Bombyx mori: one gene and its partners. The protein of the gene in region 3 interacts with the protein of the main gene of each other region in a pairwise test. Links are inferred from orthologs where the notes say so. Each region holds a gene or a part of one and is shown on either strand. Other genes may lie near its edges. The genes, in order: protein phosphatase 1 regulatory subunit 3C, protein phosphatase 1 regulatory subunit 7 and serine/threonine-protein phosphatase PP1-beta catalytic subunit.

The links.
Region 1: the proteins of serine/threonine-protein phosphatase PP1-beta catalytic subunit (region 3) and protein phosphatase 1 regulatory subunit 3C interact in a two-hybrid assay, tested with the Homo sapiens proteins (2 studies listed by BioGRID and IntAct). The link is inferred for Bombyx mori from reciprocal best matches to the Homo sapiens genes PPP1CB and PPP1R3B.
Region 2: the proteins of serine/threonine-protein phosphatase PP1-beta catalytic subunit (region 3) and protein phosphatase 1 regulatory subunit 7 interact in binary tests that used the Homo sapiens proteins (3 or more experiments, as listed by UniProt). The link is inferred for Bombyx mori from reciprocal best matches to the Homo sapiens genes PPP1CB and PPP1R7.

What each region holds. Positions count from the first base shown.
Region 1 is NC_085130.1:10,292,804-10,304,010, forward strand, and holds protein phosphatase 1 regulatory subunit 3C, read left to right. Parts: upstream 1-3,762; 5' UTR 3,763-3,821; coding exon 3,822-4,679; 3' UTR 4,680-8,410; downstream 8,411-11,207. UniProt on the Homo sapiens protein: Acts as a glycogen-targeting subunit for phosphatase PP1. Facilitates interaction of the PP1 with enzymes of the glycogen metabolism and regulates its activity.
Region 2 is NC_085109.1:2,514,509-2,525,710, forward strand, and holds the start of protein phosphatase 1 regulatory subunit 7, read left to right. Parts: upstream 1-5,107; 5' UTR 5,108-5,245; coding exon 5,246-5,249; intron 5,250-5,369; coding exon 5,370-5,613; intron 5,614-5,983; coding exon 5,984-6,112; intron 6,113-6,512; coding exon 6,513-6,675; intron 6,676-7,363; coding exon 7,364-7,672; intron 7,673-8,702; coding exon 8,703-8,868; coding exon of another isoform or gene 8,869-8,876; exon of another isoform or gene 8,877-11,202. Other genes in the region: uncharacterized protein LOC105841298, read left to right, coding at 952-1,119, 1,202-1,433, 1,817-2,104, 2,897-3,123; putative nuclease HARBI1, read right to left, coding at 3,563-4,324, 4,416-4,697. UniProt on the Homo sapiens protein: Regulatory subunit of protein phosphatase 1.
Region 3 is NC_085124.1:8,360,833-8,370,506, reverse strand, and holds the end of serine/threonine-protein phosphatase PP1-beta catalytic subunit, read right to left. Parts: intron 9,052-9,674; coding exon 8,917-9,051; intron 8,840-8,916; coding exon 8,741-8,839; 3' UTR 7,491-8,740; coding exon of another isoform or gene 7,434-7,490; 3' UTR 7,410-7,433; downstream 1-7,409. Other genes in the region: uncharacterized protein LOC101737498, read left to right, coding at 4,399-4,511, 4,961-5,170, 7,071-7,401. UniProt on the Homo sapiens protein: Protein phosphatase that associates with over 200 regulatory proteins to form highly specific holoenzymes which dephosphorylate hundreds of biological targets.

The DNA of each region.
Region 1 (11,207 bases), on a different chromosome or scaffold from region 3:
AACCTACCCAGTCAACGTTAAGTGATAAGCAGTATCTGCTATTTACATGGTACTCGCATTATCCGATCCCTTTTATTACTGTAGGAAAAATGACACTATAACCGCATATGACGAGTAATTTTGCCGCCATCACTACATTTACCGTGACAAATTGATGTTTTTAAAACCCATTACCTCGTCAAGTTCGCGTCACAAATCGAAATACTTGTTTATATTCTTACGCGGCGCATGCAAATAGAATATTGCCGCGGTGTCTTTAGCGTGTTTGCGTTATGCTTTACATGTATCGTACGCGGCGGAGAGAAGTGTGCCCGTGAAGGCCGCGTGACATGTACTGTGTCCATATTGACAGGAGATGACGGATATTCCCGCGTCAGGCTAGAGCTCAATAGAAAGAGAGAAAGAGACAGAGATAAAGAGAGACAGAGAGAGAGAGAGAGAGAGAAAGAGAGAGAGAGAGAGTATTCTTTATTGTACACCAACAAAAGAAACAATGCGAAACATTAAATACAAAAAAAAGTACAAATGGCGGTCTTATCGCTAAGAGCGATCTCTTCCAGATAACCATCAGGTGGAAAAGAATCATTTGAAAACTAATTACACGTGGTGTACATACCAACCAATTTCAGAATAGATTAGATTTTTAGTTTGAGTCATATGATGACATAGCGTAATAAGCTTGTGTTTTTCGTAAGTTTGCTTGATAGTGTCTCTGTGGAAAATTTAACAAAAAATAAGGTATCTAGAAACCTGAATCGCACTAAGAAAAGGGCAAACATTAAATAAAAACTAAGATTTCATAAATTCCCCACGTAATATTTATTGATTTATGAAGTTTTGATTATTTTAAGGATGTGGTTGCGTGCTTAATCAAAGTCTTGTTGAGCCAAACTATGACGTATATTTATTTATACTTGCAATTTTACATATACTATAGCAATGCACTTATATTTTTACAGTTTACACAAGCTACAAGTCTAATTTGAGGGAGGTGATATTAGGCCGTTTTAAGTAAGGTGTCTCACACCATGCGCTTTAGACGGTGATTGCGGAGTAGCTGGGTACACTCGTCTATTCCGTTGGGCTTTTGCAGAATGACTAGCGAGCGGAGTCAATAAATGCTTTAACTGCAATTTTTCGCGTCACCAGTACATGTGTGTCCCCCCCACATACGGCTAAGACCATTTGTGGTTCCAACATCCTCAGGTGTTCGATTAATTACAAGTCCACGTGACGTCATAAATTCAATCTCAAGTAGTGGCAGGCAAGTAGGAGCACAACTGCAAAAACAACGACCCCGTCTATTTTTACCGATCGGTACTAAAAATAGGGTAGCGTGAATCGAAGCTGTGCAGCGCGATAATTATTGCAGTTTCGTATATTATTCAGCTTTCACATGCGGCAGACCTAAAATGCAGTTTTGTTTAGTCGGTCATTCTTGTCGTCCACAATGTGCTCCTTCAAGATAATCGAAATGCGTCAAAATACAGCTTATAAACACCAGTATTATGCAAAGTCATTACACAATATTCAAATGTAGACGAATGGCATGTTATAGCAATAATGTGTTTGTGTCCTTTGCATGGCCATCGGAAATAGCAGCATCAGAATAGTCATATCACAATATTTTTGACAAAACCCGAGAATTTCAGCCTTTTGGCGTTTATTAGTCGCAGCAAAACCGGTCAAAGCAGCAATTTCTCTATTTTATGACCTTGAAACCAGAATTTTTTTTTTTTTGGGCAAATATCGGATAACGGTAACAACCTGCACAAGTTCTACGAGTAGAATACAGATAACCAATGAACAATAGAAATTCCTATTAAGTAAATTCACTTAAACCAACAATAGAATCAGTAATATGTCAAATCTCGGAACTCACATAGTCAAAGAGTCGTATCGCTTGTTTCCGCCTCTCTCCGACAATCTAAATATAGTCACAATTTATCAATAAAACTATTTAATGTGCACGAACTTTGTAAACAGATAAATAAATCATTAATTTATCGATTTTATTGTTCAATGAAACTTTATTGTTTGACCATAAAATAAATAGCATGTTCTTAGGATGCAAGTAATTTGTATCTTGCACTAGGTGAGCAACTATATACATCACAGCGTGTCACTAATCTGAATGTGTCCATCTATTGTCTACAGTTCGAACTGCACTAATTGTTTGATAACTCCATCGAACGACCTGCTCATTACATGCAATGATTTGGATAGAAGAACCGTGGGTAGCTTAAAAAAGTTTCCAACTTCACCAGAACGATTGGACTAGAACGGACTCAGCCAGGAGAATCGGGTTATCCTAACAGCTACCCAAACGCTTTCGAGGGAGACCTGACAGTTCAAGAGCAGCTTCTTCGCGCATGTATACTACTGTATCTCAATTACGACCGGCTGAGAAGATCCAGCGAGAAACATAGCAAGCTGAATAGGTTTCGCGTCAAACTCATCGTGAAGTTCGAAGAGTAATTGCAACGGTTCATTCGTATTGCAAATAACAACATTGTTACATTGGAAATACTGTAGCAAACCTGATTTACTTTATCACATGACCTCGCACCTTTGCCGATTGGAATGCGAACAAGATAAAATGTTAACCGATTGGAAAATACATTGTTGGAACTTTGTTTTATACACTGTTTTGGTTTTGATGGTTTCCATAAAAACGAAGGCAGCAGCTGGTATTCCTGGTTCAGTACCATTTTCAAGATTTCCTGAAGGGCGTCTACTAGTGATTTTCACAATCTAGATGACGATATTTACATTATTAATGTCCATTAGCTTCGGCCACCAATTGAAGCTTAGTCGATAAAAACAAATTAAAAATAATTCGGAAACAAATTTTTTATTGCTTATGATTGGTAATTAAGCTTAAGGCCCATCGTATAGATGGCTACTTAACTTTATTAACCTCCTCCCTCCAGCCTTCGAGCTGTTAGGTCATTTCCGGAGGCGCTCAGGTAACTGTTATCAAATTACATCCCTCCTGGCCGACCCCGTGCTCGCTCGCCTATCTTGGTGAAACTGTAAAGGGCTCAGAGCCACCAGTAAGTCTTCCTTCCTAAAAAGGTCCAGGTTCAGATTATCAGCTGGCCACTTTGAAATGAGCATTATTAACGCAACTTGAAATAGGAGTTCACTGCAATCTAGACATACATCAAAAATGTTGCACCTCTTCCATTTAACTTTCACTCGTTGTCTCTTTCTATTATAATCGAGTGTGTATTTTTTTATTTATTGCTTAGTTGGGTGGACGAGATCACAACCCACCTGGTGTTAATTGGTTACTGGAGCCCATAGACATCTATAACGTAAATACGCTACTCACCTTGAGATATAACTTCTAAGGTCTCAGTATAGTTTATTACATGTATGTGTGACGATCAAAATTCGAGCAGTCCATAATTATTAGCCTGATGTAAAACTTCAATTTTTTTTTTTAGATAATGTATAACTAATTATATCAGTAATTTAAGGAAATCAAAAAAGGAAGGACGACGTCTGATAACAAAGATTATTTTCAAAAAGTATAAAAAAACCCACGCTTACACTCACTAAATCCCGGATGACCCTGAAACAAAGGGTGAATACATTAAATGTTTTTATGAATTGCAACATCGCTAAAACTTCGTCTGCCCATTAATACTTGACCCATTTCTCTTAACGTAAATAAACTCCGGAGTCCGGAATATTCCATTGAAATCATTGTCACCGTATTGTATCACGCGCCCGACGTTTTAAAAGAGGGGCGCCCCGATAACTCGCTTTCAGTCGGGCATCGATCGTTTTCGAAAGAGTACGTCCCGTGTCAGATGTGCGCCGCCATAGATATGATCGCTTCCGAACAGTTATTTTACGGGCGCAGTCCGCCGGCCGGCTTCTTAACTGATTACACGCCACAATTGCGAAGACCAACAAGATTGACGACGCGAGATTTCGCGCCATGCTTTGCAACGTTGAAACCTGTTCAATTGACTTTGAAAAGCGCCCCGCGCTCCTGCATCCGTATGCCGACGGAGAAGAAACAAAAAAAAGTGGTATTCGCTGACGACCGTGGCTTCGCGTTAGCGCACGTCAAGATCATGACGGAGCCCTCACATGTGCCGCCGTACTGGGCCCTCAAGGTCGTCGAAAGTCCACCGCCAGAGCGGAAGCCACCTCCGAAACAAGCTCCCGATCTTTGGGAGACTCGGTTTGTTCAACCGGCTTCGGATTATTTGGAATTCAGGCGGCGCATCACGGAGGACTGTGTATCGTTAGAAAATGTTATTGTAAAGAGCAACGAATGCGCGGTCGATGGTACGGTGAAAGTGAAAAACCTGGATTTCAGCAAGGAAGTGTTCGTTCGGTCTTCTTCCGACGGATGGGCGACCAGCGAAGACGCTTACTGCGCGTTCGTCGAGATGGGGCCGCTGAATCAGAAGAAGGAATCGACATACGACACTTTCGGATTTCGTTTACAATTACCGATACATTCGAGAAGACTGGATTTCTGCGTTGGCTTCCGGTGCAAGGGCAACGAGTATTGGGACAACAACAAGGGCCGGAATTACACGATCGAAAAGTCATCGGCGAGGAACCCGCCGGCGATATCGTGCGCTAGAATTAAATACGGCAATTCGTGGACGTCGAGATCGACCGAATCAAGTGAAAATACACCGTATTGGTGAAGGTTTTGTATCGATATTTCTGTGCCATAATCGAAAAGTGCAGTTTTTTAATGGATTCGCACTATTCCTGGTCAACGTAAGTCTGAATTATTAGATTATTTAAAACGAACGAGAAATCGAAGACTGCTGTTTTTTATAAATCTATAAAACGTTTTATTGTATAATAGTTTCACATAGTGTTGCTAGAAGTTGGTCTATTTGATTTTTACAATTGTAATTACGATAATGTAGATTCGTCACGGCGATAATAGGTACGTGATTGTGTTTTGAAACTGTTTAAGTTTTTTTTTATTTCTCTTTACCTAATCGCTAGTGGCCTAAGGGGCTATTCCAGCTATTATCAGAGCGGAGCTTGCGATAATTATGATTGTATTTATTCGAGTGTTTCCAAGTTACCTAATAATTTTATAAGGGACGCATACCTAACCAAAAGTCTGATTTCGCGTTTAGTGAAATTTGCTCGAAATTGGTATGAATGTTTAATATGCTTAAATGCTTATGTTATCAGTAAACAAAGTAATTTGAACCGAATTTTAAAACAGAACGTTTACATATAAGGTTTTTAATTTCATAGCTTTATTTTAGAAAGATCTTATCGTTCGATATCAGGCAATGTTAGATTGTTTGGTCTAAAAATGATTTATTTTTATTTTTATATCATTATGATTATTTAACCATTTTTGTCGGAAACTGTTTTCGACATTAAAATAAGCCCGTAAAAAATACACAATGAATAATGTAAAAAAATACTAAATTTGACATTACATTAATTTATGTCTTAAAAAAAATGACATTAAATGAATGTCACACGTCAAAATAGTGATGCAATAATGCTAGGCGAACAGTTCTGCGGGTTTTTATTTTAAAATCCATAATGAGGTGTGTAATCTTTATTTGTAATTGTAAAACATTAATTTGAAATATAAATAATTATGACATTATAAAGTGGAATATTTATACGGGCGTGTAATCTATAACGCTGCTTATCCGAAGGCAGTGGGATCGGCAAAGGCCACCATATTTTTTTTTCGTTTTAAAACATGTAGCTACTTTACGCTTGTGTTCACGAATGCTCATGATTGGCCGAATGCTATTGGAGAAATTCACGTGCAGGATTTTAAACGATCTGGTGAATCGGCACAATAAAACATTGAATTTTAATGCATGATTTTAATCGATCCTAATAGTGAGACGGTGCGTGAAATAAACTATTGTAATCAATATACTTTGTGATTTAATGTAAGTAGGTATGTAACCTCTTATGTCGATACGTCTTCAGCTGCGTCTAACTAAGCGAGCATAGTATGTAGCGATCTCAAATCACTGGAATTTAAAAATGACATATGTCAAAAGTGGCAGCTGTCAAGCGCAGATTACTACACTGGTGTGTGGAGAGTAAGAGTACCTGTGTATTAAAAATATGTCCCCAAAAAGCTTTAAATTAAGCTGAAATTAAAATTATACCAGAACGTTCTTGAAGAAAACTCCGAAAGCGGTTCGTTTGCTTACACAAGCTTTCTAAAGACGCTGTTTATGATTGTAATTTTGCAATGCGGCACGATGGAGTCTAAAAGATTCGAGTTTCGATATTTTCAATGTTGGTTATGTTTATAAGATGCGTGAAAAGGAATAAATAAAAAAAATCAGCACGCTTTATTTTTAGTTAAAACAGATGAAAATCTTCTAATCGCGATCGTCGGATTGTAATGTTGATTTGGGGCATTTTGGGAAGCAAATCTATGAGATTTATCTATGACTGCATCACATTCCCTGGCATGATTTTATTTAAAAAGCCAACTGAATGTTCCGATACGATCTTGAGAAACTATGCAAGGTAGAAGTAAGGAGCGCCATCTTGTATAGGGGACAAGTTGATAAATTGTCCGTCTGTAAACAGCGCGTTGTTGTTGGAAGACTCACCGACACAGCGCTAGTGTAGCAAGTGGAAATTATATGAATATAGCAGTTTTAAACAGAGCGATATGTGCTAAGTTGAAAATATTAATATTTTACGTGACTTGTGTAGTAAAAAAAATGGAATACATATTTAAAATCTCAACTATTTATTTTTATTGATATTCACATAGGAAGTTTCTTTCGTTCTTAATTTAGTATCTGTAATAGTTTATGGTGCTCATTCTAAAATCTCTCCATTTGCTACTGTGGCGCCACCCTAACTGACTCCCTTGTTAAATGACGGGCTCTTGCCGCGATTCTAACACGTAATGGCTTCGTGTTATTTCGACTAATAACACGGGAATTCAATTTAAAACGTCAGGGAAATTAATGTAATTATCGTAAATCGAAAGTAATTGTGTAATTTTGTAAACATATTCGTTGAAAGCGAGAGTATTTAATTCTTCACAAAACTGTTTTGATATAGCTATTTTATTGCTGAGCTTAGTTATACATATTTTTTAGAACGTGCTAAAGATTTTTTGAGAAAATAATACAAAAAAGAAATCACTGCTAAATTGGCAGCAAAATAATTTTAAATGGTTATTTATAAATGTTATTGCCTTATTAAAAAATCGTTATAAGTTCGCGCGCTAAGACACGTCCGTGCAGTTCGATACCTAATAATCAAACTGCGCAAATAATCGGTATTTCGACTCTGCGCTTTATACGCATCACTAGAGAGTCGATCTATCGACGATTCGCGCTAAAAGGCTTAATTATGTGCTCTCTTCGTTCTAATACAGATCTTTCTCATTTGATTCGATCTGCACGTGCTATTTACATAGATCTTGTCATATTCAATGTAAAAATTATACCCGTAATGACATATTGAAGTCATTTGAGTCAGTAAAGCGAAAATTAATGTGTTCAAGTGAAATGAAACAATGGAGGATCTGTTTTAATTGACATTCTGGAGGTTACGAGTGGAGGTCGCGTTTGAGAACGGTTTGATTGTAGCGTTGTTCTTGGGTCTTTAACCTCATGTTTTTTTTTTTATGCTTGAAAGATTACTGGTTGGCCGGTGGCCTTTCCAGTTTCACCAGGACAGGTGGGCGAGCAAAGGCTCAGCCAGGAGGGAGCGCCTCATGTTCTAAGGTTAGCGGCTGTGGCGTGAGACAGTAATTGAGGTGCTTATTGGGAACGCTGTAACGTAAATCTGCACTTTTTTATAACTTAGATAGGTGAACGAGCTCACAGCCTGGTTTAGGTGGTTACCGGAGCCCATAGACATCTACAACGTAAATGCCGCCGCCCACCTTGAGATATAAGTTCTAAGGTCTCAGTATAGTTACAAACGTTCACCTACCCTTCAAACCGAAACGCATTACTGCTTCACGGCAGAAATAGGCAGGGTGGTGGTACCTACCCGCGCGGACTCACAAGAGGTCCTACCACCAGTCAAGTAAGATTGTTAACATATCTGTTAGAGCGCCCGTGTCGATTGAACAAATCCAAATTCAATTTATCTATAGATATTTTCTATAGATATATTGAATGTTATAAAATAAATAAATAAATATTGTTCGTTAATATTAATTTTTTTTAAATAAATACATCTGAATGTAATATTAGTTTAAGATAATTACTAATAATTGATTATTATTTTTTTCATTATTTCACACAATGTTCCTTTTTTTATTATTATTATGAAATATTTTAAAGAAATACAAGATACAATCTAAAATGTTATTTACTTATTATTTTATGAATTGTTACGAAGACTGTATTTTTATTATTATATTTTTTTTTTATAATAAATTTTTGTAAGATAATTTTGATTGTTTTTTTTTGTCATCATTAAGAGGTTACTTAAAAATTTTAATTACTTAAAATTGTTGGCAAGGCGAATGGAACCTTGGACATCAATAAATCAAGTAAATTGTTACATTAATGTTAGCAGAGTTGACAACGCAATGTAACAACAAATGACGCGTGAGGTCAACGCCCCAGCGTGGCTACGTTCTCACCCTATACAATAAAACGACAGTCATTGGTTAACAACCGGCTCGCCGGATCTTCTCAGTGGATTTTGGTAGGCAGCGGCTTGGTTCTGCCCTTGGCATTGCTGACGTCCATGAGCGACGGTGACCACTTACCATCAGGTGGGCCGTATGCTCGTCTGCCTACAAAGGCAATAAAAAATAAATCCCGATCCGGTGGTAGATTCAGCGAAGCACTGCTCTTGCTAGGGCTAGTGTTAGCAAATCTTACTGGTGGTAGGACGTCTTGTGAGTCCGCGCGGGTAGGTACCACCGCCCTGCCTATTTCTGCCGTGAAGCAGTAATGCGTTTCGATTTGAAGGGCGGGGCAGCCGTTGTAACTATACTGAGACCTTAGAACTTATATCTCAAGGTGGGTGGCGCATTCACATTGTAGATGTCTATGGGCTCCAGTAACCACTTAACAACAGGAGGGCTGTGAGCTCGTCCACCCAACAAAGCCATAAAAAAAAAACTCTCATGCTGAGCCCGTGAGCTTACCTACCAGATGAGGTAGGCAAAAAAAAACATTACCTAAGACTTACATTAGCGTTATATTCGATCGAAACATCGTTAAATTGTTAATTGGTGATTAAATCAATCGTTTGAGCGTAACAGCGAAAGTATTGCATTACGTACGCGATTTTTAATATATACTAGCTGACCCGGCAGACTTCGTAGTGCCTCAATCGATAAATAAAAGACCTAAACTTTTGTATAAAATTAAACTTAAAACAAACAAAAGGAATCCGTCCGACGGGGGACACATCAGAGGAAATTGTTATTTTTATTTAATTCCGAGCTTTTTTATATTTTCTCACCTTTTAAACCTTCTCTGGACTTCACAAATAATTCAAGAACAAAATTAGCCAAATCGGTCAAGCCGTTCTCGAGTTTTAGCGAGACTAACCAACAGCAATTCATTTTTATATATATAGAAGATATAGATATTTATATAACGATATGGAGTACTTCAGAATGAATAAACAATAAAATACTTAATTGCCTTTTCTGTAATACATATAATAAAAAAATAAAGACCTTAATATCTTTTAAAATTAATATTTTAGACAGTATTCCTAATCCTATACGAAAGACGGGTGAACACCCACTGAGTTTCTGGCTGGATCTTCTCAGTGGGTCGCGTTTCCGATCCGGTGGTAGATTCTGCAAAGCACAGCTCCTGCTAGGGTCAGTGTTAGCATCACTCTGGTTTGAGCCCCGTGAGCTCACCTACAAGTTAGGGCGAAGCTGAAATAGCCTCTCAAGGCTATCAGCATAGGGAGGAGAAAACTAAATAAAGACTCCCTCTAAGAAAATGGTATATATGCGTGTGTGTGTATTTGTATGTATATATATTGTTTTGTATCTTGTAATATGTACCTATATATTATTATATGTAATGTTTACTGTATGCACTAGGTTTGTGTTCCTAATTCTTCTTTCCTTCTGCGGGCCTACTGGAAGAGATTTCAACATGAAATAAGTAATGCCCTAGTAGTTACCTGGGGTCGGCGCAACATGTTTTCTACCATACTCCTCTATCATATACCATTTCCTCACTCACTCCCCTCTTACACATATCGTCTTTCACGAAATCCATCCATTTTTTCTTCGGTCTACCACATCCTCTAAAGCCTTCCACATTAATAGTGAAAACTCTCTTACCAACCTCGTTGTCATTTCGTCTCATCACATATCCATACCATACCAAACGCGCACTTCTCAACTTCTCTGTCACCGGTGCCACTTTCAGACTTCCTCGAATATATTCATTCCGTATTCTATCCTGTGATTTAATTTTGTTCCCAGTTATCTATATATTAATACGTGAAGCAAAAACTTTGTAGCCTTTTTTACAAAAATTGCGCGGACAGAGGAGCTTGAGATTTCCCACACTTATAGAGAATATAGAGAATGAGTGCCGAATGCTAATATTTTTCTTTAATTATGCGTAAAAAAAAATACATTAAATCAATACATAAAACACTACCATGTATTTGACATACACACATAAATACCTTGTTCACCTGTTTCATCAATAAACAAATAACATCAATAATGCAATTCACACATCGCAGAAGTGAAACTTTCAAAATTTTATATACTTATATAACTTATATCTTGTGTGTCTAAGTATGTGAGTAAAATTTTGTCGTTAGTAAATAAAATTACAAGTCATCACCTTTTATAGTATCAGCTAGCGTACTCTGTGAATTGATATCTGAACTTCATGTATTATTCTAAATTAAAATTCATTACAAGAGGTTTCATACACGTTAGTCATTTAAAATGATCTCATAGATGGCGCTGTATTAAAAAAAAACACTATGCTTCCTATCTCATTCCTCCCACGTTAAGTCTCATGGATTTATGTGTAGTGTCGCTTTTTCGTTTCATCGACTTTCAAATCACAACGATTTTTTGTAGTCTTGAGAGGTTATGTCAGCGTAACCTAACAAGTAGGTGTGCTCACAGGCTCAAACCTGAGGACGTTGCTAATACTAGCCCTAGCAAGAGCAGTGCTTCGCAGAATCTACCACCGGATCGGAAACGCCATCCCCTGAGAAGATCTGGCGAGAAACTTATT
Region 2 (11,202 bases), on a different chromosome or scaffold from region 3:
CTAAGTTACTCCTTATATCATCAACTACCTGTCAGTGAAAGTCCCGTCAAAATCGGTCCAGCCGTTCCAGAAAATAGCTGGAACAAACAGACAGACAGACAGACAAAAATTGTAAAAAATGTTATTTTGGTGTATGTACCGTATGTATATTCATATGCATGTAGTAAAAAGCGGTTATTTCGATATTACAAACAGACACTCCAATTTTATTTATATGTATAGATGTATAGATAATCATCAGAGGTAGCAATTTCATTTTCAAATAGAAGACTTATGCCCGTATCTTTAGACGTTTCGTAAAATAGTCCTCCACTCTAAACTCATCCGATGATGCTCGAATATTCCTCCCAAACTTACTCGAGTTTGGTATTTTTAGTCGACCATTACAATATTCCTCAACTGTCCTCGAGTGAGGTAGAAAGGTGCTATTGCGTCACCACGACAACATCAGTTTGAGGAAAATTTGATCAAGCTAGCATCAAACCTACAGAGTTCTGTAGTTTATGGTCATTGTTTAATGTCAAAGTCAAGCTACCACTGTCTGTTTGACACTAGACGCACCGAACTTGTTTGATGTTTTAGTTGAGAGACTCATAAATACGTGCGCGTGCGGTGAAATAGAAGGTTTTCGTTTTTCTAACCCATGATTAATAATTTAGATTTCGGTTTTTGAATAATAGCTCCTCCAGGAACCCGGCTTTGTATTTTTATTCGCTGTTTCTTTGTTGAATTTGATTGCATCGTCTTTTTGAAGTGCTTTTCCACAACCACCGGTTTATTATTCAGGTAAGTTATGATTGTGGTGTTTTATTTATCAAATAGTTAACTTTAAGTTAACTCAAATGTTTAAATATTTTTGTCCTTTATTACTCACTGCCTAAGCAAAGTTTTTTATAGATTTTACGTGAAATTACGATGCAGTAAATTATTTGTCGTTTCAGTTTTTCTATAATGACGTCCAGGCAAGTATTTAGCGAAAGCGAGAAGACTTGCCTACAAGAATTAATTTTAAAATATAATCTGCACAAAACTGCGACCATGACAGCTAGTCAAAACACAAAAAAACTTTTGTGGGTACATTTAACAGAAGAATTCAATTCAATTGAATCAAATGCAAAGGTAGATATTTATTTATATTACTTGTATCTGATTTTTACTTGTCTATATATACCATGCTATTCTTATTTATCATTTGTTTTAGCGAAGTGAGGCCCAGCTCAAGAAGTGCTGGGATAATTTAAAAACACGGAGGAAGCACTTTTTGGCTAATGAAAAGCGTCAGAGAATGAAGACTGGTGGCGGACAGTGTATTCCAAATGAGCCACAGCCTGGTAGCAGCAATGAGACCCTTATTTTTGCTGAGGTTCTACTGGATCAGACTGATGTGGAACTCAGGGGTGTCATTGACAGTGATACCATTTACAGTTCTGAAGGTAAGTGAATCTTAAAAATTTGAGATAAGCGCTTCAATCTCACATGCTCTCACAAAAAACAGTAAGAACGTGGTGGCATGGAGGGTCTTTTGATTATTGTTATATATCTATATGAGTTGAACTACATGTATTACTGTGCTAAAAACTAGATAAATAACATGCGCGACAATACCTGATAAGATTTTCACTCAAGAAACCATTTTAATAATCATAATGAATATACCACATTCTGATTAAGAACAATATTACTTTAAAATTCTTTCTTTCCTCTACTCCAACTATCACTTTTATTCTACAAATCATTGATTGAGCTAGAGCACAAGTTCATTACTTAATAATAAACGCAAGTAATGTGTAGAACTATTGATCTTGTATTTTTTCAGGAAATGTTGCAGGCACCACGCCTATGCATTACAGTGTATCATGTCGTGACACCCCACAACGTCGTGATACTCCACCACGTCGTGACACTCCACCACGTCGTGACACTCCACCAAGTCGTGACACTCCACCAAGTCGTGACACTCCACCACGTCGTGACACTCCACCTAGTCGTGACACTCCACCAAGTCGTGACACTCCACCACGTCGTGACACTCCACCACGTCGTGACACTCCACCGCGTCGTTCTGGGTCCCGGCAGACTGACTGTGGTGCAGCCTACTTAGGAGGTAAGTTAAAAATGTAAAAAAAAATTCAATTCGAAAATGTCAGAACAACCTTGAGAGTGTATAAAAACAAAAATACAAATTTTGTTGTTGGCCTACATTTGATGCAGATATCACATACCCGATCCTGTGGACTGAATGGTAAACAGTCGACGTTGCCTTAAGCACGTCATTACGAATCCTCCCGACCCATTAACGGTTCTTTTAGGCACCACAAGCACCGGTCATTGTCCTTGCTGAACCCGTCGCTTGCGACGAAGGTCTCGACGATCGAATTAACCCATAGACAGCCCACTGAGTTTCTCGCTGGATCTTCTCAGTGAGTCGCATTTCCGATCCGGTTGTAGATTCTGCGAAGATCTTGCTAGGGCCAGTGTTAGCAACACACCCGGCTTGAGCACCATGAGCTCACCTACACTTCAAGGAGAAGCCTCTCAAGGCTATCAACATAGGTAGGAAGAAAAAAAAAGATATCAGTGAACAAACATAAAAAAAAATACATAAAAGTTGTGTCACAAATAATGCAATTTGTAAATCTAATCTAAATATATCAATATCTTTTTATAACTTCACTTTAATTGTATTGAATCAGATGAATTGACTATCACATTTTACTCAGTCTAATTAATAATTCGACTATAGTAGCTCAATCCAATTGTGGGATTTGAAACCACCCATTAATACCTTAATTACCACTAAAGCTATCATCACTTCAAAATCATAAATATACATTATGTAGATTACTAAAATGTTACAAATATAGATGTATAACAATTGCATTTTATTTAATTACAGGAGGGAATGTGCGCACCAGGGTAATTCAGGAGGAATTTAATTTTAGAAAAGAATCTTATGAAAAGAAAGAGAGAAGAGAAGACGAACTCTTTCAATTCCAAAAAAAGGAAAGAGAGTGGATGATGAAGGCAGCCGAAGAAGTATATCTAAAAGCGAAGGCTGAGAGGGAAGCTGCAGAGGATATTAAAAAATATAATCAGGCTAAAAGAGATTGTAGTGAAAAATAATTTAAATAAATAACTCATAATCACATTGACTTTATTTATTAGATAGTAAGCAAAATATGACTCTTATGTAGATAAATAAAATAAGGAGTTTCAAAAGTCTAACCTCGTACTATTTACTTTTTTGGTAAAAAAATTATCAAAATTAACAAAATCAAATTTAATCATACATCTTCAAAACAAATAATACTATCTGCATTACAATAACGGTGCTCACTGCTCGGTTCCAACTTATATACCCATATTAGCCGGACAACTGATAACTGTTAGGGTAAACATGTTCTTGAGTCGAAACTGTGAAGTGGTGGAGTGATGATCTGTGCAGGGTGGCTGGCAAGAGCTGGATGAGGGAAGCCGAGGATTGTGCTCAGTGGAGAGCAATTGGAGAGGCCTATGTCCAGCAGTGGACTGCTGTAGGTTGATGATACCCATATGAGAATTTTTAACTGAAATGCCTAGAAATAAAAGCCGATCTTATAATACTCCCTCTGGAAGAGTCCTGAGTATTAGGTACTGGGACATTTTCTAGCTCAATTTCAGGGTTCAGCTCAGGTTCATTGGTCATTAAACAAATGTTGTGTAGGACAGCACAAGAGACTATAATATTACATGTGTTTGGTGTACTGTTTTGTAATTTTCTACACAAACAAGCAAAGCGTCTCTTTAATACACCATTTACACGTTCTATAATGTTTCTCGTTAATAGATGTGCTCGATTGTATCTGTGTTCTGGGTCTGTTTGAGGATTGAGTACAGGAGTGTACATAAAGCCAGTCTGTGCATAACCACTGTCTCCGACAAGAATGCCAACTAAATCGCCTTCTTCAAATCTCAAACAGCATCTGCTGTTGTTAAATATGCGCGAATCATGCACAGATCCAGGCCATCGCACAACAATGTCGTATATTTCCATTTGCGGTCCACATATTATTTGGACATTGATAGAAAACCAGCCTTTTCTATTACGAAAGATTTCTCCCCTTGCTCTGGATGGATTTTTTATTGGAATGTGTGTGCAATCAATACATCCAATTACACCTGGAAACCCTGCAATTCGGTAGAATTTTCTTTTAGTTTCAACCCTTTCATTTAATGCAGGGAATTTAATAAATTGCCTGGATTTCAAAGCCAATCTCTTAGAAATGTTTGCTACCGTTTTTGATACTACGGATTGAGAAATTTTGTGCAAGTCGCCACAAACAATCTGAAAAATAACCATACCACATGAAACCAAATGAAAGTTATAAATTATAAATATTCTATTATGTAGACACAAAAGCACATTATGCACGAACCTGAAAATTGCCTGTTGCGTAAAATCTCAAAGCAATTAGCACTCGTAATATGGGCGTTAAAGGTAGTCCACGATCGTTTTCATTAATGTTGTTAGTCAACAAAGGCAGCAAAATATGCACAACCGAATCTTTGTTAAGCCGGTAACGTTTTCGGAATTCGTCGTCATCGTAAACTTCCAACGGGTTATCTGCATCTCTCAAATACCTTCGCGACGGATAATTATACACTCTGCTATCAAAAATATAGTTAATAAATTCTTCAAAACTGCTCTCAGAAGTCATCTTGTATTAAACGCTGTTTTGAGGAACGTTCAAGGTACGTCGCGACGTACCTTAACTTGACAGTTCGGTCACTTCACTCCGGTTAGGAAATTTTTCCAAGGACGTTTGAGTGGAGTTTATTTTTACGACTAATCATACCAAAACGCGCGTTGGAGGTTGAGTCGAGTCGAGTTAGGCTCGTGTGAACGACTAAAGATACGGGTGTTAGCTTCTGTCCTACAATGCGAAAACTTGCCTATTTCGTTGCGTTAGAAACAACTGAATCGGTAAGGCATAGTCCTTCTAGCCAGATAAGAATAGTGACCTATGGATAAATTAAAATTCATTACGCAAGGTTTGAAAGGTTTGAAAGTTCATCCTTTTCTTGGCAAAACAAAAAACTTGGCTCTATAGGCTTCGTTACTTTTGTCAACCTGTGGCATAGATGATGCACTTGCCTGCCACTTATTATGAAAAGAATTTATGCCATAACTTAAATAAAAAAAGCTTTCTCCTTTGTGAATTCAGAAATTTCTTCAGACGTATACAATCACTGGCAGACACCAATAATGTGTAAGTAGTAAATTACTGCAATTAAATAACAGTTCACACAGATGATTGATTGATGATTTTCATAGGTCCAAATAAGTTGTACAAAATTTTTGGGTAAACATATAATTGTTGGATTTGCAGCTCAGCAAGATGCACATATGACTAATAACGAAGCAGATGATGTGCCCATAACAGTGAGCAATGGGAAAGAAAATGATGAAAGGAAGGATCGGGAAGGGTCTGCCTCACCACCGGCGACACCACCTCCGGCCGACGAGGATACTAACGAGATAATTTTAGTCAACGAGGAGACCAAGGAACTCGACTTAAATCACGGCCGTATAGGCAAGATCGAGAATCTTGAACATTTAAAAAAGCTAGAGAGGTATAGAAAATAAACTAAATGTCTAAATCAGGCATTAATCATTCAAAAACTTCTACACTCATTAAATTTTTAAATTGCGACTTAATGAATGCATTGTCAAGAACTTTAAGTATCCTTACAGATATGTTTTTCATATCCTTGTTTAATGAAATTTTGTAAATATGGCAGATACTGTCACTAAAATAAAGTGTACCCTAATGTACATTGCTTCTTTAAATAACTAATTTATGATCATGAGTTTGAGCATGTTATAGATAAAACCATTTGCAATGTTAAATTAATTCCTCAGTTCAAAGCATAATATGCCCATTCGCTTTTAATGGAACTTTATCAATGCAGTAGCATCTATGACTCATACTTTCTTTTCCAGGTTATATTTGAGATGGAATTTGATAAAGAAAATTGAAGGCTTAGAAATGTTGCAGTCACTGGTAGAACTGGAATTGTATGACAATCAGATTGTTGTTATTGAAAACCTTGATAGTCTTGTTAATTTGGAGTAAGTAGTAGTTTGAAGATTATTCTTCGACATTTTACTTGAGTTACCACCAATATAACTACCTACAAATATAAAAATACTCATTTGTAGAAGTACCTTTACCTGATTTCACTGCTTAACACCCTGTAATTTTTGGGACATTTGGTGTTCTGCACCTGTTGCACCATTGCTCTGCCAAGTTAGGAGTCAATATAAGTAAGTTGTAAATTAAAAGATGGGAAGAATGCAAGAGTTTCTGATTTTATTTTGAATTGTTTTAATAATATAGTATATATTTAATAGTTTATAGTTTGGTTTAGCCTTTTTATTTCCAGACGGTTTTGTTTCTCACATTGTGGTTTCTAGATTTAAACACTCCAGCTCTCCTAAGAATTCTGTTACATTAATTCTCTTGTTACAGAATATTAGACCTATCATTCAATAGGATAAAAGAGATAACAGGACTCGAAAAGCTGCTGAACATCAAGAAATTATTCCTCAGCTCAAACAAGATCACTGAAATCAAGAATGTTAATCATTTACCAAACCTTGAACTTTTGGAGCTGGGCGATAATAGAATTAGAGTATGCGTGACAACTTCTATTTTTTATTCAATAGCATAATAAAGTATAATAGAATCAATAGCACCAGTACAAATATACAAGATGTATGGCAAAAAGTTACAACAAGCAATGAGAGTTAGGAACTACACTAACAAGAAGTTCTGGGCAATGTAACACAAAAAAAATCACCATCACAAATGTAGATTTTGTTGATTTTTTTTGAGTGCATACTGGTGTGCTACTACACATACACATACTGGCATGCTACAATTAAAAATAGATTGATGTGCGCGATCGATTCGTTTTTATTTATGTGTATGAAAAGGCCAAATTAAGTTTAGTATAGAATTGTTAATTATTTCACAATGAATTCTCTTAAAATGGAGCCTTACAGGAGACCAATCTGGAGAAATACGTATCTATGAAAAAAGAACTACAAAAAATTTAAAAAAAAACACTGCTCATAACAACAGAACACGCATAAGATTGTGTTTAAGAGAGATGATTTTTAACTAATTTGAAGAAAACACAATTTCGAGAGCATGCATCTCAGCTCCTAGTAATTTAATGTTGTTTTTTCATTAATTTAGACTGTTAATAAATTTCTGATTCCGACAGAGATTCGTTTCTTACAACTCTTTATATGTATTACTTCACATAATTTTTTTGTATAATATATATTAAGAGTAGGTATTTTGTATTTTAACAGGAAATAAAAAACTTGGAAGGTTTGAGGACCCTCAAACAATTATATTTGGGTAAAAATAAAATAAGCAAAATACAAAACCTTGAGGATTTGACCAACTTGGAGATACTGGTTCTTCAGGCAAACAGATTAACTAAAATTGAAAATCTCGAACAATTGAATAAACTAGATCAACTCTATATCTCAGAGAATGGTATAACAGCTATAGAAAATTTGGAGAATCAAACAAAACTTCAGACCTTGGATCTGGCCGTGAACAGGATCACTGTTATAGAAAATGTTCGGCATATGAGTGATTTGGAGGAGCTATGGGTGAGTTTTTTTTTTTTTAAGCAATGGTTTTTCTCCAATTTTTGCAAAAAACACATTGAAGCATAAGTTAATTGACAAATTAATTAAAATAAAATTAAAATTTAGATTAACTAATGTTGTGAGCCCGCACTGGTACCGCCACCCTGCCCATTTCCGCATTTTAGGGTTTGTACTATAGAATTGAACCATGTACTAACTATAAAACTGAGACTTTGAACTCATGATTCAAGTTGACTGGCGGCATTGGTGTCAATAAGCTCAGGGAATCACTTAACACCACAAAGGCTTAGAGGATCGTTCATTAATTGAAACAATAAAAACAAGGCAATAGAAAAAAAAAAAATGTATATCTACGAGCAATACCGTCTACCGTTACCATAAGGGCACACGGGGCCCGTGCCCAGGGCCGCCATTCTCAGGGGGGCCCGAAAGACCGACAATTTCTCTCACACGTTTATTCTCAAAACATTTTTGTCGGGCATATCACACTTTTTTCACAAATCAGTAATCAGAAGGTATTTACAAGGCCTACCTATACTATGCCTATAATAGAAGATTTTGCTTAACAGAAATCCCGAAAGAAACCGTTATCGAAATCGTAACCAAAAAACCAGCAGCAGTCTAATATCATTAATGACATATATATCATACTGTATTTGATTACCTATAATAAATGGTCTCATACTCAGTAAAAATATGTTATTATAATTCGCTTTTTTTACTTTCCAAAAGGGCCTCAAATTTTTGTGTGCCCAAGGGCCCCATCCTAGTTTAAGACGTCCCTGTCTACGAGTTTTCCCTAATCTGCTGTTCAGCAGATTATTATGTTACGTAGTATCACAATATGTATAAAGGAAAAATGAAATGAGCAAAATAGTTTTGAAAGTAAAATAATTAAATCACTTTGGGCCTTCTAAAAGTCCCTAAGTCTAAATATCCTTTTAAGTAGATTTAAAGGTTCTAACTTATTTATTGTAATGCAAAATTTTAGTTGTGTTGTGCATTCAATGAAAAGCCTTTTTTATTTTAGTTAAACGACAATCAAATAACAGAATGGTCATCGATAGAATATTTGCAACAAAACAACAAATTATCCACAATATATTTGGAGAGGAACCCGATAGCTTCAGATCCAGCTTACAGAAGGAAATTGAAGATATTGCTTCCAACACTACACCAGATCGACGCGACACTGTGTAGATAAGAATTTTATTTCTTGGTATTGGGATGAGAGACGATGCGGTAAAAGAAATATTAGTCTACTGTTTGTGATCACTCATTTGTTCCGTGGAGTCTGTTAATGTAGAATTGTTCTTCTTTGAATTCATTGACTTCTAAGATGTGGATTATTATCCAATTAGAAGTCTTCTATAAATCACTTTATTTTTTTAACAGTACTGCATTTCAGGCTATGTATTAAGTAACATAGCCTTGCAATGTAATACAATGAAATAATTTAATACAATGTGTCTTTTATATTAAAATATATTGTCTCAGAGGAATTAAAATCACTTCGTCTCTTGTCTCTTGTAGTGTATATATATTTGCACATGTAATTTAGTTGGAATTGTTGAATTTGAGTTGGATAAATGTGCGATTTTGTGTACTGCTTCAGTGTCATAGTGGCAGCATTCTCCGTTTTTGTATGTTATATTAAAATTATCTAAATAAAACAGAGTAATTTAGTGTAGTTGTCTAATTGAAATATTTATTGGTATGAGTCTATATCGACGCTTGAAAGGCAAACGTGACTAAGCGACAATGCGTGAACTTTACAGTAGACTAATTTAAAGTTAAAATTAATTTAAAATATACCTGAGAAATACCTGAAAAAAATTATATTTTAACAAATGTAGCTGTAGGATTGAAATGATTTTAATAGACCTAGAAATATATTTTTTTGCGCATCGAATATGGTTATTGCCTATCATTTATGTACAAAGCAGTTATTGTCGCTTAGTCACGTTTGCCTTTCAAGCGTCGATATGGATATTTGTGTTAATAAGTCACAAAGGAAATATCTTAGGTAACAAATAGATAAAAATCATATTTAACTTAACAAACAAAAAGTTCCGATTCTTGAATTTATTGTGTGTGTTAATAAAAATATATGAAACGAAATAAGTATTACATCAACTATTACAGTTTGACTAAAGCGACAAATATGTATTTTATTATTAAACAGGACCACTATATTTTAATTACAAAAAAAATAACACAATTTTTGAAGACCAAGCAGTAAGAATTGATGAATTGCCTGTATGATCTTTGCTTTGGTATTAAAATAATGAAACAAAATGTTACAATCTATATCTTTGTTGTCACATATATATTAGTTATCATAAATACAAAAACTAGTGGTAGGACCTCTTGTGAATCCGCGCAAGTAGGTACCACTGCCCTGCCTATTTCTGCCGTGAAGCAGTAATGCGTTTCGGTTTGAAGGGTGGGGCAGTTGTTGTAACTATACTTGAGACCTTAGAACTTATATCTCAAAGTGGGTGGCGCATTTACGTTGTAGATGTCTATAGGCTCTAGTAACCACTTAGCACAGGTGGACTGTGAGCTTATCCACCCATCTAAGCAATAAAAAAAAAGATTTTAATTTATACAGGACATACCATATTGAAACAAAATTATGATAATTAATTTTCACATTAAGATCAATGTTTTAATATTAAATTAAATTTTGCAGTGAACTTGCCAAGGTAAAACCGTCCTTCCATGTTTATAGACAATGCCTTAACAAAAGACGCCAAAATCGAATTATTTTTGTTCGAATGTGTACGATCACCTATTGCTTTGTGTTGAGCAATTAACTTGGTGTCCAAGTTAAGAAAGATTTCTAAAAATGTTCATATCATTGATTTGTCTAAGCACATATTAACGTAGTAAATTTTCTGTTGCATATTCATGTATAATAGTTTTTGGTAATTAAAACCTAGTAGCTATGTATAAAAATAAATCTCAATTAATTTTGTATTTGTTATTATACAAATAGTAATAGCTAATGTTGGTACTTTGTAGTTATGTGTTGATTTTAATATTATAATTGAACCTCGAATTTCCACTAGGATAGTCAAAGTTACGTACGCTAAGGTAGAGATGCGTTTTAAGTAACTAAATTATTTTAGAAAAATAGAAAATTTTAAAAAATTATAATTTAAATTCTCATTGAGAGTTTCTTTTATGAATTTAACTAAAAAGTAATTAAGTGGAGCATTACCTACCTCTTATAAGACTCAAATTACCCAAGTGCCTACATTTACTGTAGCTTATCCAATTTTTAACTTTACTCGTAAAATATACCCTGTGTCTCTCATTTTGTATTGCCCGAGAAGTGCATGCTTTCGGTACCTAGTTAAACATTGATACGTCATATTATGATTGTGTTTAAAAAAAATTCGTAAACAGCCTTAAAGGGAGTTTAGCTCCGAAGTATATATTTGTTTATGTTGAAAAATATTAATAAAGTAGGTACCTAAAAGTTTTTCAAAGATCAACTCAAATGTCACATCCAAATGTTCTCA
Region 3 (9,674 bases):
CAGAAAATTTTAATGTACAAGAATTATATTATTAGAATGAAATTGTTAATTAAATGAAGTTATTTGTTCATTTGTAGACTGATAGATGTGTGAAATAAAAATTACATAATGTCAAAGCATTGATAACTGTGGTTCTTATATTTATGTATATACATATTGTTTTTATGTTTACAGGTTAAATGGTATTAACATAGCTAAAATAGTAGCGTTTGAAAACACATTATTAGGTCCGAATAGTAGCGTTTGAAAACACATTATTAGGTCCGATTCGGGTCACTTTGCTTTCAATTTTGCTAAAAGTTATTCACTAGACTTAGATTTTAAATGTTTCATGAAATGTATCAATGAAAAGATGATATGATGGATCATGAAATATTTTATTTTACAGCCGCGGCTTACTAAGAGGCGGGTCATCGTATGCTGGAAACATCGAATAAAACGTTACCTACTTGAAAGTCGAAGCACCAAAACGTTGACTATGTTTAAAATTAAATGAAACATTTTAACTAAATGAAACTGAAAAATGAAAGTAAATAAAAAAAATATATACATAAAGATTTTCCGCAAGATCTCAAAGACTGCTGCTACTCTTGTTTAAAAGGTTCAACATAGTCACTGCCACGGTAAAGAAATTGTTACACAAATCTTGTTTTTGTTACCTTTAATTTATTTATTTTACTTATTCCAATTAATAAAAAATACAAAAGATAAAAAAGTATTTTTTTATTTTCGTATAATATTTAGATAACAGGAGTTTGGAAAATGATTCAGAACATGAGAAGTGGTTAGAATTGGAGGTTACCGTTAAATGTGTTAAAAAAGTCATTTAAAAAATTGTGTGAAAGGCCTTTAAAAATCTAAATTGCAGGTTTGCCACCCGTCGACCTTCATTGCGGTGGACAGAAATGAAAGATTAGAAAAAAGTTATTGAATAATTAACTTCTTAAATAAATATATGTATACTCTCTTAATGGCTGCAGTTCGACAATATTCACGAAAGTAGTCACTAGAAACACTCCAAGATTAATATTACAGACCTATTGCGTTTTCTTTTATTTTTTATTCTGTAGGGACCAAACCTTGGTTTTAATTTAATTTTATTCATTATAAACTAGTCAAGAGTGACTAAACAACTAAGAAAATGTATTGACAAACAGAATGAAGAATAGTTTATTTTTTTTCTTTTGTCTATTCATACTGTATATCAGGGATTCCTAAACTATTTTGGGCAAGAGACCCCTTTTCCAAAATGAGTTGATACCACAAACCTCCATAGCCAAACTATTTTAAGAATTGTAACTTCAGTTTTTTTTTTTCTATTGATACAATAGAAAAACCAATTACCAATTACCAAAAGGAATTACCAATTTCAAAACTTAGCAGTTAGTTGTGAGTACAACTAATATCACTTTCTCATCAAAATTCAACAAAAAAAGTACTTAGACACAATTCAGCACATATCTTGTACGAACTTGTCTTGTCTATCGACTTGTTAAATTTAAAAAAGTACAACAAGGATACTTCCTACTAAAATATTAGTCATTTTTATGACAAGATGGTACAAGTAATACGACTTATGTAGTAGGTACCTACCTATCTTTAAAGTTGCAAATAAGGACTTATGTTAATTATTATGGGGTTGATTTTTAGAAAAATCATTTTTAATTTATGTCGATCCCTGAGAGACCAACTACTGGGAGTCCTCATCATAGATATGTGGCCGTAGCCATTATGGAACAGTTTGAAGCCAGTTCGAAGATAAGTTTGCAGATATTAAATTCCGAACGATAATATTTAGCAAGTCATTTCGGATCCTTCGACTATGGATGCTTTTAGACATTCCAAGCATCGGTCACCGTTCTCGTCGATCCCGCCGAATGTGAAGAACGGTTCGTCGTGAAAGCAAACTCACAAACACAACCGACTGAGTTTCTCGCCGGATCTTCTAAGTAGGTCGCGATTCCGATCCGGTGGTACATTCAGCAAAGCACTGCTCTTAGTAGAACTAGTGTTAGCTAAGTATCCAGGCTGAGCTTTGTGAGCTCGCCTACACGTCTGGTGAAGCTAGCATAACCCCTTCGATGAAATATAGAGTGATACATCTAATTATTTGAACAATACCATCTTTTTAATAATATGCATTAGTAAAGAAATACTTGTTTTATGATTAGGCAAAAATACCAAATACTTTCAAAAGTCGTCGTGGCCTAAAGGATAAGACGTCCGATGCATTCGTATCGAGCGATGCAACGGTGATCGAATCCCGCAGGCGGGTACCAATTTTTCTAATGAAATACGATACTCAACAAATATTCACGATTGACTTCCATGGTGAAGGAATAACATCGTGTAATAAAAATCAATCCCGCAAAATTATAATTTGCGTAATTACTGGTGGTAGGTCCTGTTGTGAGTCCGTTCGGGTAGGTACCACCACCCCGCCTATTTCTACCGTGAAGGAGTAATGCGTTTCAGTTTGAAGGGTGGGGCAGCCGTCGTAACTATACTGAAACCTTAGAACTTATCTCAAGGTGGGTGGCGCATTTACGTTATAGATGTGTATGTGCTTCAGTAACCACTTAACACCAGGTGGGCTGCGAGCTCTTCCACTCATCTAAGCAATAAAAAAAACTGATATTTATTTTTAAGTCACTGTACAAAAAACTCTACATTTACTACTAGATGTATGTAGATATAAGACTAGTTCGCGATGCTAATAATAAAAGCAGGATTATTAAACGTATAAACCTAAATTTAAAAAACCCATTTAGGGTCGCTCCTCGCGTTCCCGCTAAAAAGTCTTCATCGCGTACCGTACCGTATAATTCTACCATACGTACGCTTGGACTTTACAACGCCTTCGCAAGTAGCTGATTGCCATACCGAAAAAAACAAAAGAGTTTTTCACAAAAACTACCTGACCCGACAGACTTCGTAGTGCCTCAATCGATAAATAAACAACCTAAACTTTTGTATAAAATAAACTTAAAACAAACAAAAGGAATCCGTCCGACGGGGGACACATCAAAGGGAAAACAAAATTGTAATTTTTTATTTAATTCCGAGCATTTTCATATTGGTTTACCTTTTAAACTTTCTCTGGACTTCCACAAATAAGTCAAGACCAAAATAAGCCAAATCGGTCTTACCGTTTTAGCGAGACTAACGAACAGCAATTCATTTTTATATTTAAAAAAGATCAGATAGATTAAATTAATCAATAATTTGAGATTAAGGCACTTTAATCTGTTTTTTGTTTCAAAATACATTTTGCTACCCTGAAAATAAATTAAAACTTTATTTTGAATTTTAAAGTTAATTTGTCTGCAATTAATTTTATTATGGAATGAATTCAATGAAATGAAACGGAAAAAACTATTTTAATTTGTTCAGTGCTACCAGTACTAAAAAAAATCTAAATTTTTGGTTCCTTATTTAGGGATAACCATAGAGTTTGTATTAACTCCATGGGGATAAAAACATATTTTGTAGCACATAAAAAAATTTAGCAAACAGTAATACTATTTTCGGACAAAAAATATGAATATTCAGAATTTTCTACTAATGTAAGATTTTTCGGTGTTTATGGTAAATTTAAAACAAGGCCGTGGCCCAAGTGGTCGTAAGTCGTCACTGTTACTTATATACATCGAAAATGCTCTAGACATACCCAAGTAGCGCTCAGGAAACGTCTTAGAGAAGAATTCATTGTAGATAAAATGCCTCTTTGGACTCAGAGATACTAAAAGATCTATATGATCAAGATTTAAGATCATCTGAACAATCTGTTCGATAGGAAAAATATGATATGGTATCTCTGGATGAAGTATCTCAAATAAATATTAAAAGTCCAAATAATTACATATTAAATGAAATAACATATTATAAGTCCTTTGACACTATCTGCTTAATTATTCAATAAAAGTGATCCTAAAATTAGTAGTAAAGTAGTACTAGACAGTAGAATTTGATTGCCATATAGTAGGTAATCGTGATGTTTTTTTTTATTTTTTTTTACCTTTAATAAACAAAATCGTGGTATTTTTAGTGAATTTTCTCTACGATTCCAAAATTTCTTGTCAAATCTTCTTAACCCGATTTGTTTCTTAGTATTTTTTAAAAAGTTTGGTATTATCAGCAGCTTTCGTATAGTTGCATTTTAACTAAGCATAGAGCAAACAAGAATGTAGGAGGATCATAAATTCAAATCTGGCCACTCCAGGCTCGTTATTTTCAAAAAATATTTTAAAAAAAGTTTGAAACAAACGAACGCTAGGCCAAACAAAATAAATAAAATAATTGTGATTATTGCGCAAACTATTGTAATTTTGAGTGATGTGAATTTTAAATTAAGTGTTTCGATCAATTTTAATCGCAATCAGTGTTGAAAAAATAAAGATGAGTGAAAATTTAGCAGATCTTGAAAACGATGTTGAAATGTTGAATTCTGAAGTCCCTTTCGATAATCTCGTCATATTGAAAGAATTCGGAAACATCGTAAACCTTGTCAAGTAATTAAAATTGTACACACTTGATATGTTATTTTAGTAATTGATAAATAATATAAGAAAATATTAAATAATAAATTAAAAGACTTCTTTTTCAAGCAGAAACAAGTTAATAATATCTTTTTTAGGAACAATTGCTTAAAATAAAAAAAATAAAAGCGTAACTTATTTGACCACAGCATTTGGAATTAACAACTTTATCCATGTTCTATTTTGTACATGGTTTTGACTCACAGGCCCTTCTAATTAGTAAAGCTTTGATTCGGTAAATTAGGATAGGCAGGAAAAGCGAAAAAATGCTAGAAAAATCCGTAAACTTAGTAACAGTAGCCTACAGTAAATCCTACAATTTGCTGATAATAAGCACAATTTTGATTCAAAAGTAATGTCACCTAGTTTAATTTGGTAAAAATGTGTGAATTGTATTAATTCATTAAATTGCTATGTCACAGAGATGAAGATTTTTTGGAAACTGTACCTAAAGCAAAATTGCGACGTGTAAAATGGTTACCCATGTTTAATTGCTTAAAACAGGGTATATTTGATGAAATGGTACAAGAAATCAGTAATATGTGGGAATATGAAAGTATGCCTGAAAAATTAGAAATTCTTGAAAAGCAGAAGGAGAAGTTTAATGATGTTGGAGACTGCAAAAAATTATGGTATGTGTAACGCAATACTTTGTGCCTGGCAAAGGTGCCATTTGGATTATATAGGTTTATATCTATATTAGACAGCTAATTAATGCCAGATATGCTATTACACTAATCTTAGTTTGTTGCAATCAAAATCAATAGCAATCAAGCCAAAATAACACTATTTTACAAATATGTCATCTCCAAAAGTTTGATGGTACAATAGAAATAATACTAACTTTCCTGAAATAAATTATATTAAATTAAGTAAATTAAACTTAATAATTGCTAACCGAAAAGTATTGGACTTGTGATCTGTTCAATTAGCCATAAGCCAAACTCTGTAGTTTAGCTGCTCTTTTTTTCTGATCTATGTTGTGGACATGCACAGAGAAACTAGCTTTTATAAAATAATGAAGGTCTGGCCAGCGCAAGCTCTTGTTCTAATGCATTGTATACACCCGCTTTTAAGTTGCTTTAAAACATTATCTTAACAATAAAAACATTTGTCTGAAGTCTGATTAGTGTTGAAGTTGTTTTTATGCTTGTTTACAATAAAAATATTATATTAATTTTATTTCATGCAAAGTGGACAGTAATCATTTTGGTTAACCATTAGGCTCATAAAATTTTAAAATGAATCCCTTTTATGGTTGTGTACTAGTATCATAGTCCTTGAATCCCGTCATTGGTTATAATTAAACCCATACATTTTACATAATAATATATAATATACTTCTCCCTTGTTCAAAACTAATTTACACAGCTAGTACTTACAGCAGATAAACGGGTGTGGAGGATGTTGTGAAATGTACAGTCAAGAGCAGTGTGGATTTGGTCAGACCAATGTATTGGGTTAAACCCTCAAGGCCTGTACTGGTCACGATGAGTTTCGCGAGGTTTCCATTCCATTCTTCCTTGTAATGTGACTGAAGTATTCAAGGATTCTACTAACCCTAGTCTACCCTCCATGGCGCGCACATGGCGGTACCTGGGTCCCGGCCCAGCTGGAGTGGAGGAGCTCTTTGGGGTTTAGTCGTTAAGCTGGGCGGGTTTGGCGCGGAGTCCGACATAACCCAGTCCGACCCCCATTGGCAGGGTATCCGTAGACTGGGATTCCCCATGGATACAAAAAAAAAAACTACCCTAAATGTGGTGTGTCTACGAGAACTCAAAATCTTCTAGTGGCTGTCATCCAAGTGTATTCGCAGAGTTGATTAAATTTTGCCAAAAATCCATCGCACCTAAAATAAGCAAACCAACACAGTCTACCTCATAGCATAGGGTTACTGGAACTTATAGATACAAGTGTTTTAATTGCCCACCTTGAGACAATAGTAAACTAAAAAATAGGTGGTGTAATTGTCCTAAGGACTGATATGGGACATGAAATAATATTATTTTCAATGAAACAAAGTTTTCATTATGTTCATACAAACTTATTCCCTTATTTCATCTTTATGTATCTAATGATATATATCTACTATCACCATGTCCCAATTCAGAAAAATTAAACATGGAAAACGAGTGACTTCATATCTATAAGAGAAATGCAAAAATTTAAAATTTGTCTCATATTAGGGAAGGAATTAAATCCGATTTTTTTATTGAGATTATTTAACACACATTCAATCCGAGCTACAATTGCCTCTTATGTTCTGTTTGATGCAGTTGCACTTTCGTCATAAAAAAAGGGTTAAATTTAAGTAGTAGCTGCTACTTCTACTTTTTCTAATAACATTAGGCTCAACGAAGAAGCAATTTATTAAGAGAGACAACACAAATCAGTGCAAATATTTTTGCAATTATTACTTGCATTACATAAAGCTTGATTTATATTTATGAAGGCGATCTTTTCACATTTATATATTGAAAATTTAGCATTTTAACTACGAATGTTAGTAGTAATATTTGTTTTATATTTCAGGAGGCCACAATTAGGAGATGTGAAAGCACAAATGAAAGCCAGTGATGTACAAAATTTGCAAAACCAAAAGTCTCTACTTGAATCCTTAGCTAAAGAATATGAAATGAGGGTCAATAGGTTGAAGAATGTTATTTCTGCCAAAAGAGGCTATTTAAAGGCTTTACAACTGGACTTACAGAAGTATCAAAAAAAAAATGAAGATTTCTTCAGTAAAATCAGCAAAAAGTTAGAATGTCATGATACTTTTGTAAGTGATATAATAAACAATAAGATAAATGTAGAAGAAGAAAGTTGGACAGACAAAGACTTACATTTTGATGAAATAAAGTGATTGCATAATAGATTGAATAAAATATATTTCAGAAATTTGTACATGAACAAGTTACAATAAAGTCTAGCAATGAATTTTTCAAAGAGTAGGTGAAAGATGTGCAGAGCAAAAGATATCGAGAATAGCAATTGCATTACTATCTTAATATACAAAATGAAATATTATTAATTTAAAATACTGTAAGTAGACATACAATAAATTGCCTTTAATATTAATGTTGAATGTGAAAAGTTTAGCATTTTTTGTGAAAATTACAGAATGTCAAAACAAAATAAACAAATAGTTTAAATAGCAATATTTATTAATGAAAAATGTTAACATAGCTAAAAATAAAATTGTACAATGCAAAACCTGCATATAATTTATATAATATTTAGCAATTGCACTATTGTTGCGAGGACTACACTGCTTCTACTTTATTTTAAATAATTAAATTTGAGACTTTCATTACAGTATAATTAGACTGACAAATAAGCCTCGGCCGGGGAGATCATATACTTTCCTATAATTTTGACTGCTACTTATTTTAACATTAAGAATAATACTGAGAGCAAATTAAATTTTATTTCACTGGATATTCTCTCCTAAACATATTTTTGCAATGGAGTCCTGGGTACTAACACTTAAATGCTATGACAAATATAAGAAGGTAAATTGCATGTTTAGGCCAACTTCACAGAAGGACTAAACCATCAATAAATATTTAAACTACAACAAACATAAAATTCATGTTGACAACTATGGACGAACATTGTTTTTTAATTATTGCCTATTCCATACAAGAATTTCTCAAATCATTTAATTTTCGTCACTCCAGACTTATATATAATTTACATTCATAGGCACATTAGATATAAAATAAATCAACCAAATGTGCTTCCGATCCTCTACTTAATAGATTATTTTGTAAATGTAATTACGCTTCAGTGTCCAATGCCCGCATCTCGAAGTCAGCTGCCACTTTTCTGATAAAATATGATAAATGATACGAAACAATTTGACTATAACATGTAGACGATAGATAACACAATAGGGTTCAGTACTAATTAAAGGGCTGCTAGGTAGTACTTCAGGGATCGAAAAAGCATGTCAATGTAACATTGCCGAACGTGTCTACTCATTAATCCTCATGAAAGTTTAACAAAACAAATTAATTTCACTCATATTGTGTAAACGTAAAACAAGAAGGCACAAGTAATTGATAACATATATTTCACAAATTTAAGACACATTGTCCGGCCCTGTCCAATGACCTAATAATAATAATTATAATACATGATATAATTAATTATTTGTAGCATTCCTCTCACTGTGCAGCACACTGGATACCAAATGTCAGTTATTTTTTCTTAGGTGGTGACCTTTGAGGAGTAGCTGGCCTTCCACTGTTTATACCATTGTACTGGTATTTTGCTTTTTTTTCAGATGGTTTAAGAATCTGTAAGGGATATGATAATTTACTACTTCATCTGCATATGGTAAATCTGAAAGTTCTTGATATGGTAATCATGTTACCTGGAAGGAGCACATTAGAGTTTCATCAACAGACATCATTCCACCAGCATTATCAAATTCTCCACAGTAGTTGGGTGCAGAGAACAAAGTAACCAACATTCGTTTGGCGAAAAATTCATATCCATCTTCCACCACCTGAAACGAAAACATCATTTTAATTAGTCTGAATTGTCTGACTTAGCACCATATTTAAGAGGTTATTGGAGTGGATATCCATCAGTAAGTATCTTCAGTCGGCATCGATGCGCCACTTCGATAAGGCGGCACGACACGAGGAGAACCCTCTCATCGTGGCTGCCGGTAACTACATTCCCGTACCTGCGGACAGAATGGAAAGCAGTCGACGTCGCCCCAAACACGTCATTTCGGATCCTCCCGATCCACTAACGGTGCTTTTAGGTACCTCAAGCACCGGTCATCGTTCTCGTCGAACCCGTCGCTTGCGACGAAGGGCTCGACTAGTAAATTAACCTTCAGACACAGCCCACTGAGTTTCTCGCCGGATCTTCTCAGTGGGTCGCGTTTCCGATCCGGTGGTAGATTCTGCGAAGCACGGCTCTTGCTAGGGTTCGTGTTAGCAACGTCGTCAGGTTTGAGCCCCGTGAGCTCACCTACTAGTTAAGGTTACGCTGAAATAGCCTCTCAAGGCTCTCAGCTTATGTAGGAAAAATAAATAAAAGAAAGGAGTGCATAGACATAATTTGTCATATACATATATAACTATTAAGCAAGAAATATACCTAAGACAGACAAGTAAC